Stegostoma tigrinum: one gene and its partner. The protein of the gene in region 2 interacts with the protein of the main gene of each other region in a pairwise test. Links are inferred from orthologs where the notes say so. Each region holds a gene or a part of one and is shown on either strand. Other genes may lie near its edges.

Region 1 (7,599 bases), on a different chromosome or scaffold from region 2:
CAGAGGGCTAGTGTGGACTTGATGGACCGAATGGCCAACATCCACATTGTAGGGATTCTGTGCTTGTATTTTGTGAAAACAGATGCAAAGTGTTATATATGAATTGTACCCTATCTTCCACCTCCAGGGGCAGGTTACCTTTTTGGAGTTTGAGACCAAACTCTATTCTCTTGCTCTAAAAATATATCGGACTGAAATCTTACTTAGTGTTTCTTTTACACATTCCCAGTAAAAACATTTGACACCGACTACAAAAGAGGTGTGCTAGTTATTTGCTTTTGTAGTTCTTGTCAGATTTGATAAATAGTTGCCTGCGAAAACTTTCTCAGAAATTCAGGAAATTAATTTCTACAAAAATAACTGTATTTTTTCTAATACCATTATAATTATAGGCAGCACTTATGGAACTGAATAACTTACTTTTCACATGTACCATTTAAAATTATGAGACTTTAAAACAGTGTAGAAATAATGTGAATACTTCATGACTGCTGAAAACTAATTCTGATATAGTCTTCAACACCTGACCACTTTAATATTTCTACATTCTACAATACTGATGTGCTACGACAAACACAGAACACTGGAGAAACTCAGCAGGAGAAACTCCACATTACAGAAGAGGAGGTGCTGGTAGTCTTAAAACGCAGTAAGATAGATAAATCCCCGGGACCTGATGAATTAGATTAGGTTTTGTTGTAACGTGCACTTCAGTACAAAAGTATGGGAAGCCTATCCCAGGACTTTGTTGGACGGTAGGGAGAAAATTGTGGGATCCCTAGCAGACATATTTGTATCTTTGACAGTCATGGGTAAAGAGCCCAAAGACTGGAGGGTTGGTAATGTTGTGCCATTATTTAAGAAAGGCTGCAGGAAAATAGCTGGGAACTACACTGCTAAGCCTAATGTCTGTGGTAGGTAAGTTGTGAGAGGGGCTTCTGACAGGCAGGTTTTACAGGCATTTGGTAAGTCAAGTACTCATTTGGGATAGTCAGCATGGTGCTGTGGATAGGAAATTGTGTCTCATAAATTTGATTGAGTTTTTTGAGGGGGTGACCAAGAAAATAGATGAGGCCAGTGTAGGGGACATTGTTTACATGGACTTTAGCAAGGCCTTTGACAAGCTACTGCATGGTATGTTGTTAAGGTTCAATCTCATGGGTCCAGGGAGTGCTAGCCAATTGGATACAAAATTGGCTTGAAGGTAGAAGACAGATGATAGTGATAGAATCTTGCTTTTCAAATTGGAGACCTGCGACCAGTGGTGTGCAACAGGATCAGTGCTGGGTCCACCGTTATTCATCATTTACATAGATGATTCGGATGACAGTTTAGGAGATATGGTTAGTAAGTTTGCAGATGACACCACGATTGGTGGTATAGTGGACAGTGAAGAGGGTTATGTGGGAATACAGGGAGATCTTGATCAACTGGGCCAGTGGGCTGAGAAATGGCAGATGCAGTTTAATTTAGATAAATGCGAGATGTTGCGTTTTGGAGGGTCAAATGAGGGCAGGACTTACACAGTCAAAGGTAGGGCCTTGGGGAGTGTTATAGAACAAAGAGACTGAGGGGGAAAAATTCATAGCTTCTTGTAAGTGGAGTCAAAGGTAGGCAGGGTGATGAAGGCAGCTTTCGGCATGCTTGCTTTCATTGAACACAGCATTCAGTATAGGAGCTGGAAAAAGATGTTGCAGCTGTACAGGACACTGGTAACGCTACATTTGGAGTGCTGCAAGCAGTTCTGGTCGTCCAACTACAGAAAGGATATTATTAGAATAGAAAGAGTGCAGAAAACAAATTTACTAGGATGCTACCTGGCCTGGGAGGTTTGAATTATAAGGATAGATTGAATAGTCGGGTACTTTTTTCCCTGGTGTGTAGGACACTGAAGGTTGACTGTCTAGAGGTCTATAAAATCATGCGAGGCATAGATAAAGTAGGCAGCCGACAGCTTTTCCCCATGGCAGGGGAGTCTAAAACTAGAGGGCTTAGGTTTAAGTTGAGAGGGGAGAGATATAAAAGGGTCCAGAGGGGCAATCTGGCAGATAGAGGGTGACGAGTGTCTGGAATGAGTTGTCAGAGGTAGTGGTGGAGGAGAATACAATTTTGTCATTTAAGAAACATTTGGATAGGTCCATGGATGGGATGAGTATGGAGGGATATAACCGAACATAGACAAATGGAATTAGTTTAATTGTGGAAAACTGGGTGGGATGGACAAGGGCCTGTTTCCATGCTGCAAACCTGTATAACACTATAAGCAGGACTGGCTGCATCTGTTGGGAGAGAAACAGTTACCATTTCAACTGCAGTTCTGAAGAAGTCTGCTTCTCTGCCAACAGATGTGGCCAGACCTGCTGAGTTTCTTCAGCATTTTCAATTTGGTTCAGTTTTCCAGCACCTGCAGTATTTTGCTTTTATTCCATTTGAGTTAGAACTCAGTTACATGTTACAATTACTTTTAAAAAAAGAACATATTGGGTAACAGGAATCCTTCAGTGCCAGCTTAGGGTTAAAAAAAGGAAGTTACTTTCATATTTATTAATATTTGGTACAATGGACTGCAGTTAGGTTGTGTAATCAGCTTTTAGGAGCTGAGTGAATCTTATGATTGACAAAAATGGATCAAATGCCAATGGAATAAGTCCCTAATCTCCACTCAGTTAAATCCTATCTCTCAATTGATCAGCTCCAATTAGTCCTTCTTCCACCATCGGTTGTTTAAATAAAGGCTATACAGAAAACATTCTTGTAAAGACAAGATTAGAAACCGAAAGCACTACAAATCTATGCAGATTTCACCGAGTTTTTCCAACTCCTACTGGAGAAAACACATGACCGCTCCGCACTGTTATATTTACTTGCGAAAAAATGTTTCCGTCCTTTACATAGATCAACATTTTGAAAGTTTCTTTTTCCCATAGATCACCACGTCAAACGGAGAATGATGGTCTGAGGGCTGAGTTAGAATCCGTGAGACGCAGTGGCATAATTCTGATTTTTTTTGTAAAAAAAAGAAACGTTTTGTTTATACTGCACGGATCCAAGGTTGAATTAAACACGTGGCGGGGGGAAAGGTGCAAAGTTTTACTCGTACCTTCGGCCTAAACGATTAGAGTCGGCACAAGCTCGAAGAACAGGAAGCAAACTCCTCTACAGTTGGTTGTTTGGTGACAAATGCTACAAAATGTATCGAGACTCAGAGTTCAGGAAATGAGTGGAGCTGAAACTGAAGGCTCCAAGTGACCAGCATCGCCCATTGGCTGCTGACTGAAGTAGCCACAGATCTGAAAATTGTACGGCCAAAATAAAAAGGCTCCGATCGCAGGATTTGATGGAGTCCCTTTCCCCTTCCCCACTCGGAGTTCCCGGACTGGACCAAGTTCCTGTGAGCTGAGAGGGTGTTTCCAGTGCGGGAATGCCTCATTGTCCCGGAACACTTACACGGCTGACAGGGAATTTCCAACTAATCACCAACAACCTACTTTCAAAAAATTCAATTCCCCTTTCCCCGCCAACAGGGAGTTAGATTTTCGACCTGTGGGGAAAATGGGGCATTTTGTTTTGTTGCAGACCGCTCAGAGCGAAGGTTTGGCAAGCAGACGATTTTCACTCAAACCTTCCGCTGCAAACTGACCCCCTCGAAGGTCCAGGACTAGGTGCCGAGGGGCGCTCTTGAAGTTTCTGGCAGCCAAAGCTCAGTAGGGACAGCCCGCCCTCTAAAGTCTTTCTTCCAAAATATGACGAGGGTCTGTTCAGTTATCAGAACCCTCATTGCCTCAATGTATGCAAATAGTGTTTTGCTTGAGTAAGAAATCCCTTTCAAACCGGTATGACAGGTCGGCACAACATCGAGGGCCGAAGTGCCTGTACTATGCTGTGATGTTCTATGTTCTATGTTTAGTTTTTGCAACTTCAACGAATGTCAAATTTCAATGTTTATTTTTCCTTGATGCTCAAAAGCCGTGTAGAACTGCTTTAGTACTTATGAATATTGATCATTTTTTATGAATAAAGTGTATTTTTGCAATGAAAAACCAGCTCTGCTTCAGTAAAAGAGAAACACCAGTCATGTTTGGACATCGAGCAGTTTTTCCGCTGCCTTCGCCTCTGCGCTTACTTCTCTAACCGGGAGCCTAACCCTCCCTCCACTGACCCCTTCATCCGCCTCTAACACTGTGGATGCCACCCCCAGGCCTCCGACCCTCCCTTGACCTCTTCATCTCCAACTGCCATTGAGACATCAATCGCCTCAACCTCTCCACCCCTCTCACCCACTCCAACCTCTCCCCCGCAGGACGGGCAGCCCTCCATTCCAATCCCAGCCTCACCACAAAACCCGCGGACAAGGGAGGCACAGTTGTAGTATGGTGCACTGACCTCCACATTGCTGAGGCCAGATCCAACTCTCCAACACCCCCTCCTACTGCTCCCTGGATCATGACCCCACCCCTGAGCACCAAACCATCCACAACCTCATCACCTCAGGAGACCTCCCACTCATAGCCTCCAACCTCATTGTTCCCCAACCCCGCACCACCTGCTTTTATCTCCTTCCCAAAATCCACAAACCCACCTGCCCTGGTTGACCCATTGTCTCTGCCTGCTCCTGCACCACCGAACTCATTTCCACATATCTGGACTCCATTTTCTTCCCCTTGGTCCAGGAACTCCCTACCTACGTCCGTGACACCACCCACCCGCCCCCCCCCCCCCCCCACTTCCTCCAGAACTTCCAATTCCCTGGTCCCCAACACCTCATTTTCACCATGGATGTCCAGTCTCTATACAACTGCATTTCCTTGCAGATGGCCTAAAGGCCCTCTGCTACTTCCTTGTCCCGCAGGCCCAACTAGTCCCCCTCCACCGACACCCTCATCAACCGAGTTGAACTCGTCCTTACCCTCAACAGCGTCTCTTTTGATTCCTCCCACTTCCTACAGGTGAAGGGGGTGGCCATGGGTACCCGCATGGGCTCAAGCTATGCCTGCCTCTTTGTAGGTTACGTGGAACAATCCCTCTTCCGTACCTACACTGGCCCTAAACCCTGCCTCTTCCTCCATTACATCGATGACTGTATCAGCGCTGCCTTGTGTTCCCAAGAGGAGCTCGAACAATTCATCTACTTCACCAACACCTTCCATCCCAACCTCAAGTTCACCTGGACCACATCCCTCCCGTTCCTGGACCTATCTGTCTCCATCTCAGGCAACCACCTAGAAACCGATGTTCATTTCAAGCCCACCGACTCCCACAGCTACCTAGAATACGCCTCCTCCCACCCACCTTCCTGCAAAAATCCCATCCCCTATTCCCAATTCCTTTGCCTGCACTGCATCTACTCCAAGGATGAGGCATTCCACTCCCGTACATCTCAGATGTCCTTGTTCTTCAAGGACTGCAAATTCCCCCCTGCAATGGTCGAGAACGCCCTCAACCATGTCTCTCACATTTCCCACAACTCATCCCTCACACCCCACCCCCGCAATAACCACCAAAATAGAATCCCCCTCATCCTCACATACCACCCCATCAATCTCCGGATCCAACACACCATCCTCTGACACGTCCGCCATCTACAATCCGACCCCACCACCAGACTTTTTTCCATCCCCACCCTTGTCTGCTTTCCGGAGGGATCACTCTCTCTGTGACGCCCTTGTCCGCTCCACACTTCCCTCCAATCCCACCACACCCAGCACTTTCCCCTGCAACTGCAGGAAGTGCTACACTTGCCCCCACACCTCCTCCCTGACCCCAAGAAGACTTTCCACATCAAGCAGATGTTCACTTGCACAACTGCCAATATGGTATACTGCATCCACTGTATCCATTGTGGCTTCCTCTACATTGGGGAAACCAAGCGGAGGCTTGGGGACCGCTTTGCAGAACACCTCCGCTGGGTTCGCAATAAACAACTGCACCTCCCAGTCGTGAACCATTTCAACTCCCCATCGCTTTCCTTAGACGACATGTCCATTATGGGCCTCCTGCAGTGCCACACCTTTGCCACCTGAAGGTTGCAGGAACAGCAACTCATATTCCGCTTGGGAACCCTGCGGCCCAATGGTATCAATGTGGATTTCACAAGCTTCAAAATTTTCACTCCTTCCACTGTATCCCAAAACCAGCCAAGCTCGTCCCCACCTCCCTAACCTGTTCTTCCTCTCACCTATCCCCTACCACCTCAAGCCGCACCTCCATTTCCTACCTACTAACCTCATCCCGCCCCTTTGACCTGTCTGTCCTCCCCAGACTGACCTATCCCCTCCCTAACTACACTCACCTCTACAGGCTCCATACACACCCCTTGTCTGTCTCCTCTCCACCTATCTTCTCCTCTATCCATTTTCAATCCGCCTCCCCTCTCTCCCTATTTATTTCAGAACCCTCTCCCCACCATCTTTTCTCATGAAGTGTCTAGGCCCAAAACGTCAGCTTTTGTGCTCCTAAGATGCTGCTTGGCCTGCTGTGTTCATCCAGTTCCACACTTTGTTATCTCTACTTTATAAAGTAGATGGTCAGAAATCAAACAACACCACATTGTAGTCCAGCAGGTTTATTTGAAATCACAAAGCTTTCAAAAGGACTGCTCCTTTAATCACATCATATAAAAGGGGAGAACAGTATATTTACAGCAGGCAATCACAGAGGGTGTCATGTGCATAATGTGTGAATTAAATAAACTTCAGAAGGTCTGGTCAGATAATGGGAACTGCAGATGCTGGAGAATCTGAGATAAAGTCTGGAGCTGGATGAACACAGCAGGCCCAGCAGCATCTTAGGAGCACAAAAGCTGACGTTGCAGGCCTAGGCCCGCTTTTGTTCTCCTAAGATGCTGCTAGGCCTGCTATGTTCATCCAGCTCCACACTTTGTTACCTCAGAAGGTCTGGTGGCATCTGTGGAGAGAGAAACAGAGTTAAGGTTTTAAGTCCCAATGTGACTTCTTCAGAAACAGGCAATATAGTTTCTAAATGCTCCAATTAGTCATAAGTTGACTCTGATTCATTGGAATATTAGGAGGTGGGTTCAAAATTTAAGAAGTCCACTGGGCACTGGGTGACTGAAGAACCAGCTATCAATGGTGGAGCACATACAAAAGAAACTGTCCATTAAAGGTTATCAGGGAGGGTGAGGTAGTAAAGGACTTCATACAAGAATGATCATTTTATCATTTAAGTGCAAACTGAGAACTGATGTACATCGAAAGAATAGAAGCCTTATGTTCAGGATAGGAAAGAACATGCTGCTCTCTCAATTGGCTGGAGTTCGTTGAAGGTGGAAAACAATGGACTGGTCAAAAAGAATCAGGTTTGGAGACAGCAAAGTTTTGCCTCAAGACCTCAATAGCTGAAGGCCAGATGCATAGATTTTAATTAGTCAGGGAAACTAGCATTATAGGGGGAATAAAAAAGGCATAAAAATTTGGAGTTGAGGATCACCAGATCAACAATGATCTCATTGAACAGTTGAGCAGACTGGAGGGGCTGAAAGGCCTACTTCTTCACCTACATCTTGTGGTGAGCTCACAGCATCATCACTCTGTCATGGCATTTTGCTAAGTTTCTGTTGACCTTTGATTGATTGTTACTGTG
Region 2 (7,504 bases):
GGGTTGTTGAGGTAGATTATCATGGATACATACTTGGCTCACTAACAGAAGACTGGGAACTGAGATAAAGGAGGAATTGTCAGAATGGGAACCTGTAAGAAATGGAGCATCACAGTGATCAGTGCTAGGGCTACATTTATTTCCAATATATATCAATGACTTGATGACTGAAGTGAATGCTCCATCACCAAGTTTGCAGATGACACAAAATTCTTGTGTCAGAATTTGAAGGCAAGTAGTGATGAAGACACAGAATCTACAGAAGGACAAAGCAGGCTGAATAGGTACAATATAATGGAGGAAAATGTGAGGGTTTGCACTTTCACAGAAAGAACAAGATAGCTGAATATTACCTAAATGGGGAAAGACTGCAGATAGCTGCAGCACAGAAGAACTGGGCAACCATCAAACATGGATCACAAAAAGTTTACACCTGTAGGTAATAGGAAAGGGAAATGGACTGCCAGCCTTTACTTCAAAGGGAATGGAATATGAAAACAGGGAAGCCATGCTAAAGACACCACATAGTTAGACACTCCTGCAGTATAGTGAATAGTTTGGCCCATTATCCAAGAAAAGATATACTAGCAATGGAAACACTTCAGAGACTGTACACTGGGTGGATTCCAATTATTTTCTTATGAGAAGAGGTTAAGCAGGTTGGGCCCATACTCATGAGTTTAGAACAATGAGTGGGCACTTTATTGACAAACTAGATTCTGAGATGACTTGATAAAAGTAGTTGAAGAGACATTGTTGCACCACTCAGCCAGCCCATGGGAGAGTCTAGGACCAGACGGCATGATCTCAAAAAGGTATTATCTAATGAAAACTGACACAGAAGACTTTTATTTTCCCCTCTGAAGCATAGTGAATCTGTGAAATTCTTTGCCAGAGGAGACTGGATCATTAAGTATATTCAAGGCTGAGACAGATATTTACAATCAGCAAGGGTATCAAGGGTTATGGGGAAAAGGCAGGCAAGTGGAGTTGATGATGATCAGCCATGTTCTCATTGGATGGCAGAGGAGACTCGATGGGTCTACCTGGTTAAAGCGAACCGATGATAATGGGAACTGCAGATGCTGGAGAATTATAAAATGTGAGGTTGGATGAACACAGCAGGCCCAGCAGCATCCCAGGAGCACAAAAGCTGACGTTTCGGGCCTAGACCCTTCATCAGAGAGGGGGATGGGGTGAGGGTTCTGGAATAAATAGGGAGAGAGGGGGAGGCGGACCGAAGATGGAGAGAAAAGAAGATAGGTGGAGAGAGTATAGGTGGGGAGGTAGGGAGGGGATAGGTCAGTCCAGGGAAGACAGACAGGTCAAGGAGGTGGGATGAGGTTAGTAGGTAGGAGATGGAGGTGCGGCTTGGGGTGGGAGAAAGGGATGGGTGAGAGGAAGAACAGGTTAGGGAGTCAGAGACGGGTTGGACTGGTTGTGTGGTGCAGTGGGGGGAGGGGATGAACTGGGCTGGTTTTGGGATGCGGTGGGGGAAGGGGAGATTTTGAAGCTGGTGAAGTCCACATTGATACCATTGGGCTGCAGGGTTCCCAAGCGGAATATGAGTTGCTGTTCCTGCAACCTTTGGGTGGCATCATTGTGGCACTGCAGGAGACCCATGATGGACATGCCATCTAATGGGGACCGCTTTGCAGAACACCTCCGCTCAGTTCGCAACAAACAACTGCAACTCCCAGTCGCAAACCATTTCCACTCCCCCTCCCATTCCTCAGATGACATGGGCCTCCTGCAGTGCCACAATGATGCCACCCGAAGGTTGCAGGAAGAGCAATTCATATTCCGCTTGGGAACCCTGCAGCCCAATGGTATCAATGTGGACTTCACCAGCTTCAAAATCTCCCCCTCCCCACTGCATCCCAAAACCAGCCCAGTTCGTCCCCTCCCCCCACTGCACCACACAACCAGCCCAGCTCTTCCCCTCCACCCACTGCATCCCAAAACCAGTCCAACCTGTCTCTGCCTCCCTAACCTGTTCTTCCTCTCACCCATCCCCTTCTCCCACCCCAAGCCGCACCTCCATCTCCTACCTACTAACCTCATCCCACCTCCTTGACCTGTCCGTCTTCCCTGGACTGACCTATCCCCTCCCTACCTCCCCACCTATACTCTCTCCACCTATCTTCTTTTCTCTCCATCTTCGGTCCACCTCCCCGTCTCTCCCTATTTATTCCAGAACCCCCTCCCCATCCCTCTCTGATGAAGGGTCCAGGCCCGAAACGTCAGCTTTTATGCTCCTGAGATGCTGCTGGGCCTGCTGTGTTCATCCAGCCTCACATTTTGTTAAAGTGAACCGAGACCACATGAGGGAGGGCTTATACTCAGTGTGCCCTTAGGATCCACCCCGTGGAAGGGGAAGCTGGAGGCAAGTGACCTCATCCCACCTCCAAACTCCCGGGGGAGCTGGAGGCGGATTCATTCCATGTTTTCAAAAGAGCTTCAGACCCTTCCGAGCTGCAGAAAAGGACCGCGGGGTCACAGGGGAAAGCATGGACGGGGGGGGGGGGGGACGACGACTGCTGCTTAGAGATCGAACACAGACCGGACGGGCCGAGAGGCCGCCCCGTGGATTGCAATCGTTCCGATCAACACAGGAGCTCACCCTGATGAGGCGGAGGATGTCGCCGCAGTCCCGGGGTGTAGCTAGTCGGACAGTGTAACTGGTCATTTTCGCCTCTTATTTTTCTTGCTCTTTCTCTGGAGACCCCAGTACTTGTACAGTAAGACCAGGTTTTTCTTCATCCGCGTCCCGCGAATCAGCCTGGGACCTTTCGTGGTGCCGGGTATCAGTGTCAGCTTGATTCCCCTTTAGACACTGCGTTCCCGATGTGAACTCCGCTTTGCGTCCCCGCTACCGCTGTTTATAAACAGCCTGCCGCAGGCTGGGCTCCTCCCAACAAGTGTCCGCCTCCTGACCCAGAACTGACTTTCAAGGCAAACTTCAAAGGCGAAGCTGCAATCGGCCAGTCCGCAAAAGAAAAGATACCTGTCTAGGATGTAAGCGGCTCATGCAGCATTCGACCTTTCTGAGGCACAACATTATGGATTCAATGTCCCATTTCACAGGAGTGCTGCGGTACCGGAGGTGGATGGCTTCAGAAAGATTTCTGCTCCAATCTACAGCCAGGGCTGCTCTCTCTCTCTACTGTGGTGGATCGAACCCTTTTCTGAGCCCTCGGGAAGAATGGAAACATAGTCCCACTCAGCGAAGACAGGTGTCGCCGGTCAAAGTCTTCCAATATGGATAACATTACCATCTTCTGCTCAGATCCAGTTTCGGTGTGTAGATTGATATGCATCTGTGACCATGTCAAATGGCCTTGCTCGCCAAAATAGGTTATGGCCAGAGCAAGGCAGTGCTGTCTTGAGAACTGGACTGACATGTTCTCTTGGTCATCAAGTCAGATTATCTGAAGGTGCTGGGGATACAGCTCAGACAGCCTGAGTGGGTGACACAGAAAAATGAGCATGTGGAAGCAACACTCCCTCTCGATTATGCATCAGAGCTTTCTCAGGTTCTTCCAGTGTTGTTGTATATTCTGCAGGTCTGGCAAATTCCTCACTCCATTACAGTGGTGATCACATGAGCCATCTTCTGCTTTATCTGCAGGTTAAAAACTGGAACATGATGTAGAAATCTCTAAACAAAGGAAGAAAGAACCGACCAAACAACTGTCTATCTGATGACTAGCTCTCTGTGTGGCTGCATCAAGCTGTGCATATACCTTCAGTACACAAGCAATGTGCTTAGGTCCTACCTTTCCCCAGTGTTACGGAGGATGGCGCTATCCACATTGTCATAGAATGTTGCATCTACTTGGGACTGTGTTGTACCATCTGCCCCTCATGGTAAAGTTCATGCACGTAAAGATCTTTGACCAGTCCAACAGGCAGTCATCTGCATCTAATGCGCTAGATGTCCTCCAGGAAAAGAAGATGATGGCAGGTCCTGTTGGATGGTTCCTTGATATTACATTTACAAACAAGATCAAGATGTAGCTTGGCTATTGGTGAGAAATGTTCTCCCTGTCAGATTTTTCCTGCATGCCTTAAATCTTATGCAATTTGGGTGAATCAAATTGGGAAAGATAGCCTGCAAATGGGTTCATAGCATGTATCCGGGCAATTTCTTCGAGCAGAATGTGCTAGTCCAAACAGGTGTGGATTGGACTATTCAACATCTGATAATGTTCAATGAGACAAATAATTAATAAAACCCAAGCAAACTGCGGATGCTGTAAATCAGAAATAAAAACATAAATTGCTGGTAAAGCTTAGCAGGTCTGGCAACATCTGTGGACAGAAATCAGTTAACGTTTCAGGTCCAGTAACCCTTCCTCAGAAATAATTAATAACCTCACAGTAAAGGGGCCTCTAGGTGATAGCAATCATACATGATTGAATTTTCCATTAGGCTTAAATGTGAGAAGTAGGAGTCAAAGTCTAACGTTTTAAACTTAAATAAAGGTGATTATGAGAAAATGAAGGCAGTTGGCTAAAATGAACTCAACATTGGATTAAAAGGTAGAAATTGTGTAATAGACTTCTAAGGAGATAATTATTAACTCTCAACAGATATTTATGGCATTGAAAAAGAAAAGTTTTTTGAGAAGGATGTGTTATCCTTGGCTGCGTAAGGATGTTAAATTGGAAGAAACATTGTATGGTTGTGTGAATGGAATATAAAAATGGGGTAGCTTTACACCACCCATACAGGGCCCATGATTATACCACCCCTGGAATGCTGAATAAAGTTTTGATCTGTTTATTTTCGAATCAACCTGTTCAGAGATATTACTACACAGCTCTGGAGCAGGTGGGACTTGAACCTAGGCCTCCTAGATCAAAGATAAGGACACTACCACTGCCACACAAGATGCCTAAAGTTATGGTCTCATGACTTGAAAAAGGAGATTTTCATTCACAGAGAAAATTAACTTGAATCATTCCTGGGCTGCAGAGTTTAACTAATGAATGAAATGTCGATTGAGCAGGTTGGGCGTATGCCAACTGGCATTCAAAAACAAGAAGTGACCTTCTCGAAATACATAGGGTATAAATAATATACAATATAATGTAAAATTTAAAAGAAAATGAATTTGGATGTTTGGAAGAAGGGTCACTGGATCCAAAACGTGACCTCTGATTTCTCTCCATAGGTGCTGCCAGACTGCTGAGATTTTCAAACAATTTCTGTTTTTGTTTCAGATTTCCAGCACCCGTGGTTCTTTTGGTTTTTTCAATAGTTGTTACTGTGTTGAGCTCTGCTGAACACACAGAACTGGTCTTGATTGAAATCCAGTCAAAAGCAAAGCAGCCCTGAACAAAGATCTAAGGTATCGATGTGTCCAGCATTCTCCCCAACTGTTTGAAGAAGGTGACTTTGTGGATACAATTTACGTTTGTTTGTTTGTTTATTTATTTATTTATTTATGGATGTTGCAGGTTCCAGGGTTTAGATCTTTCATTAAGATCAGGGAAGGTGGTAAAAGAGGGGGAGGTGTGGCTTTGTTAGTCAAGGACATTATAACGGGGGCTGAAAAAACTTTTGACGAGGACTCGTCTACTGAGGTGGTATGGGCTGAGGGCGGAAACAGGAGAGGAGAGGTCACGCTGCTGGGAGTTTTTTATAGGCCTCCGCAAAGTTCCGGGGATGTGGAGGAGAGGATTGGCAAAACGATTCTGGGCAGGACTGAAAGGAACAGGGTGGTCATTATGGGAGACTTTAACTTCCCCAACATTGACTGGAAATGCTATAACTCTAGTACATCGGATGGATCAGTTTTTGTCCAACGTGTGCAGGACAGTTTCCTGACAGTGTGTCGAAGGGCCGACAAGTGGGGACAGTCAAAATGTGGAGCTGGTTTAAGAACAGATATTGCGTGTCCTTGATAGGTATGCCCCTGTCAGGCAGGGACGAAGCGATAAGGGAACCATGGTTTACTAAAGAAATTCTATCTCTTATTAAGCAGAAGAAGGAGGCTTATGTGACGATGAGACGAGATGGTTCAGATGGGGCATTGAAGAGTTACAGATTAGCTAGGAACGATTTAAAGAGAGAGTTAAGAACAAGAAGGGGACATGAGCAGACAATAGTAGGTAGAATAAAGGAAAACCCTAAAGCTTTCTAAACATATGTGAGGAATAAGAAAATGACTAGGGTAGAAATAGGGCCAGTCAAAGTCAAAAGTGGGAAGTTGTGTGTGGACCCTGTGGAGATCGGAGAGGTGCTAAAGGAATATTTCTCATCTGTTTTCACTCAGGAGAATATTGTAGAGGAGATGACTGAGTTACGGGCTACTAGAATTGAAAGGATTGAGGTTAGTAAGGAGGAGGTGTTATCAATTCTAGAAGGTGTGAAGGCAGATAAATCCACTGGGCCAGATGGGATTTTTCCAAGCATTCTCTGGGAAGCTAGGGAGGAGGTAGCGGAGCCTTTGGCCTTGATCTTTGAGTCCTCATTGTCTACAGGTTTAGTACCAGAGGACTGGAGGATTGCAAATGTTGTGCCCTTGATCAAGAAGAGCAGTAGAGATGAACCAGGTAATTATAGACCTGTGACCCTTACGTTGGTTGTAGGGAAAGCTTTGGAAAGGATTATAAGAGATAGGGTTCATAATCATCTAGCAAGCAACAATTTGTTTGGAGATAGTCAGCATGGATTCGTCAAGGGCAGGTCATGTCTCACAAACCTCACTGAATTTCTTGAAAAGGTAACCAAGCATGTGGATGAAGGTAGGGCAGTTGACGTGGTGTACATGGACTTCAGTAAAGCCTTTGATAAGGTTCCACATGGTAGGCTATTGGAGAAAATACAGAGGCACATGATTGAGGGAGATTTAGCAGTTTGGATTAGAAACTGGCTTTCTGTAGGCAGGCAACGAGTGGTGGTTGATGGAAAATATTCAGCCTGGAGTCCGGTCACTAGTGGTGTGCCTCAAGGATCTGTTTTGGGATCACTGCTGTTTGTCATCGTTATAAATGACTTGGACGCAGGCATAGGTGGATGGGTTAGTAAGTTTGCGTATGACACTAAAGTCGGTGGAGTGGTGGACAATGTGAAAGAATGTTGCTGGTTGCTGGGACACTTGGATAAACTGCAGAATTGGGCCGAAAGGTGGCAAATGGAGTTTAATACGGATAAATGTGAGGTGATTCACTTTGGGAGGATTAATAGGAAGGCAGAATACTAGGTCAACAGAAAGATTCTTGGTAGTTTGGATGTGCAGAGGGATCTTGGTGTCCATGTACATAGATCCCTGAAAGTTGACACCCAGGTTGATAGTGCTGTTAAGAAGGCATACGGTGTGTTAGGTTTTATTGGCAGAGGGATTGAGTTCTGGAGCCGTGATGTCATGCTCCAACTGTACAAAATGCTAGTGCGGCCTCACTTGGAATATTGCTTACAGTTCTGGTCGCCCCATTACAGGGAGGATGTGGAAGCATTGGAAAAGGTGCAGAGGAGATATACCAACATGTTGCC

What was found. The genes of interacting proteins can lie anywhere in the genome.
Region 1: the proteins of diamine acetyltransferase 1-like (region 2) and casp7 interact in binary tests that used the Homo sapiens proteins (3 or more experiments, as listed by UniProt). The two-hybrid records come from large-scale screens. The link is inferred for Stegostoma tigrinum from reciprocal best matches to the Homo sapiens genes SAT1 and CASP7.

The regions. Positions count from the first base shown.
Region 1 is NC_081373.1:23,858,539-23,866,137, forward strand, and holds the start of casp7 (caspase-7), read right to left. Parts: upstream 3,051-7,599; 5' UTR 2,926-3,050; coding exon 2,865-2,925; intron 1-2,864. UniProt on the Homo sapiens protein: Thiol protease involved in different programmed cell death processes, such as apoptosis, pyroptosis or granzyme-mediated programmed cell death, by proteolytically cleaving target proteins.
Region 2 is NC_081365.1:77,559,690-77,567,193, forward strand, and holds the start of diamine acetyltransferase 1-like, read right to left. Parts: upstream 3,086-7,504; 5' UTR 2,690-3,085; coding exon 2,624-2,689; intron 1-2,623. UniProt on the Homo sapiens protein: Enzyme which catalyzes the acetylation of polyamines. Substrate specificity: norspermidine = spermidine >> spermine > N(1)-acetylspermine. This highly regulated enzyme allows a fine attenuation of the intracellular concentration of polyamines.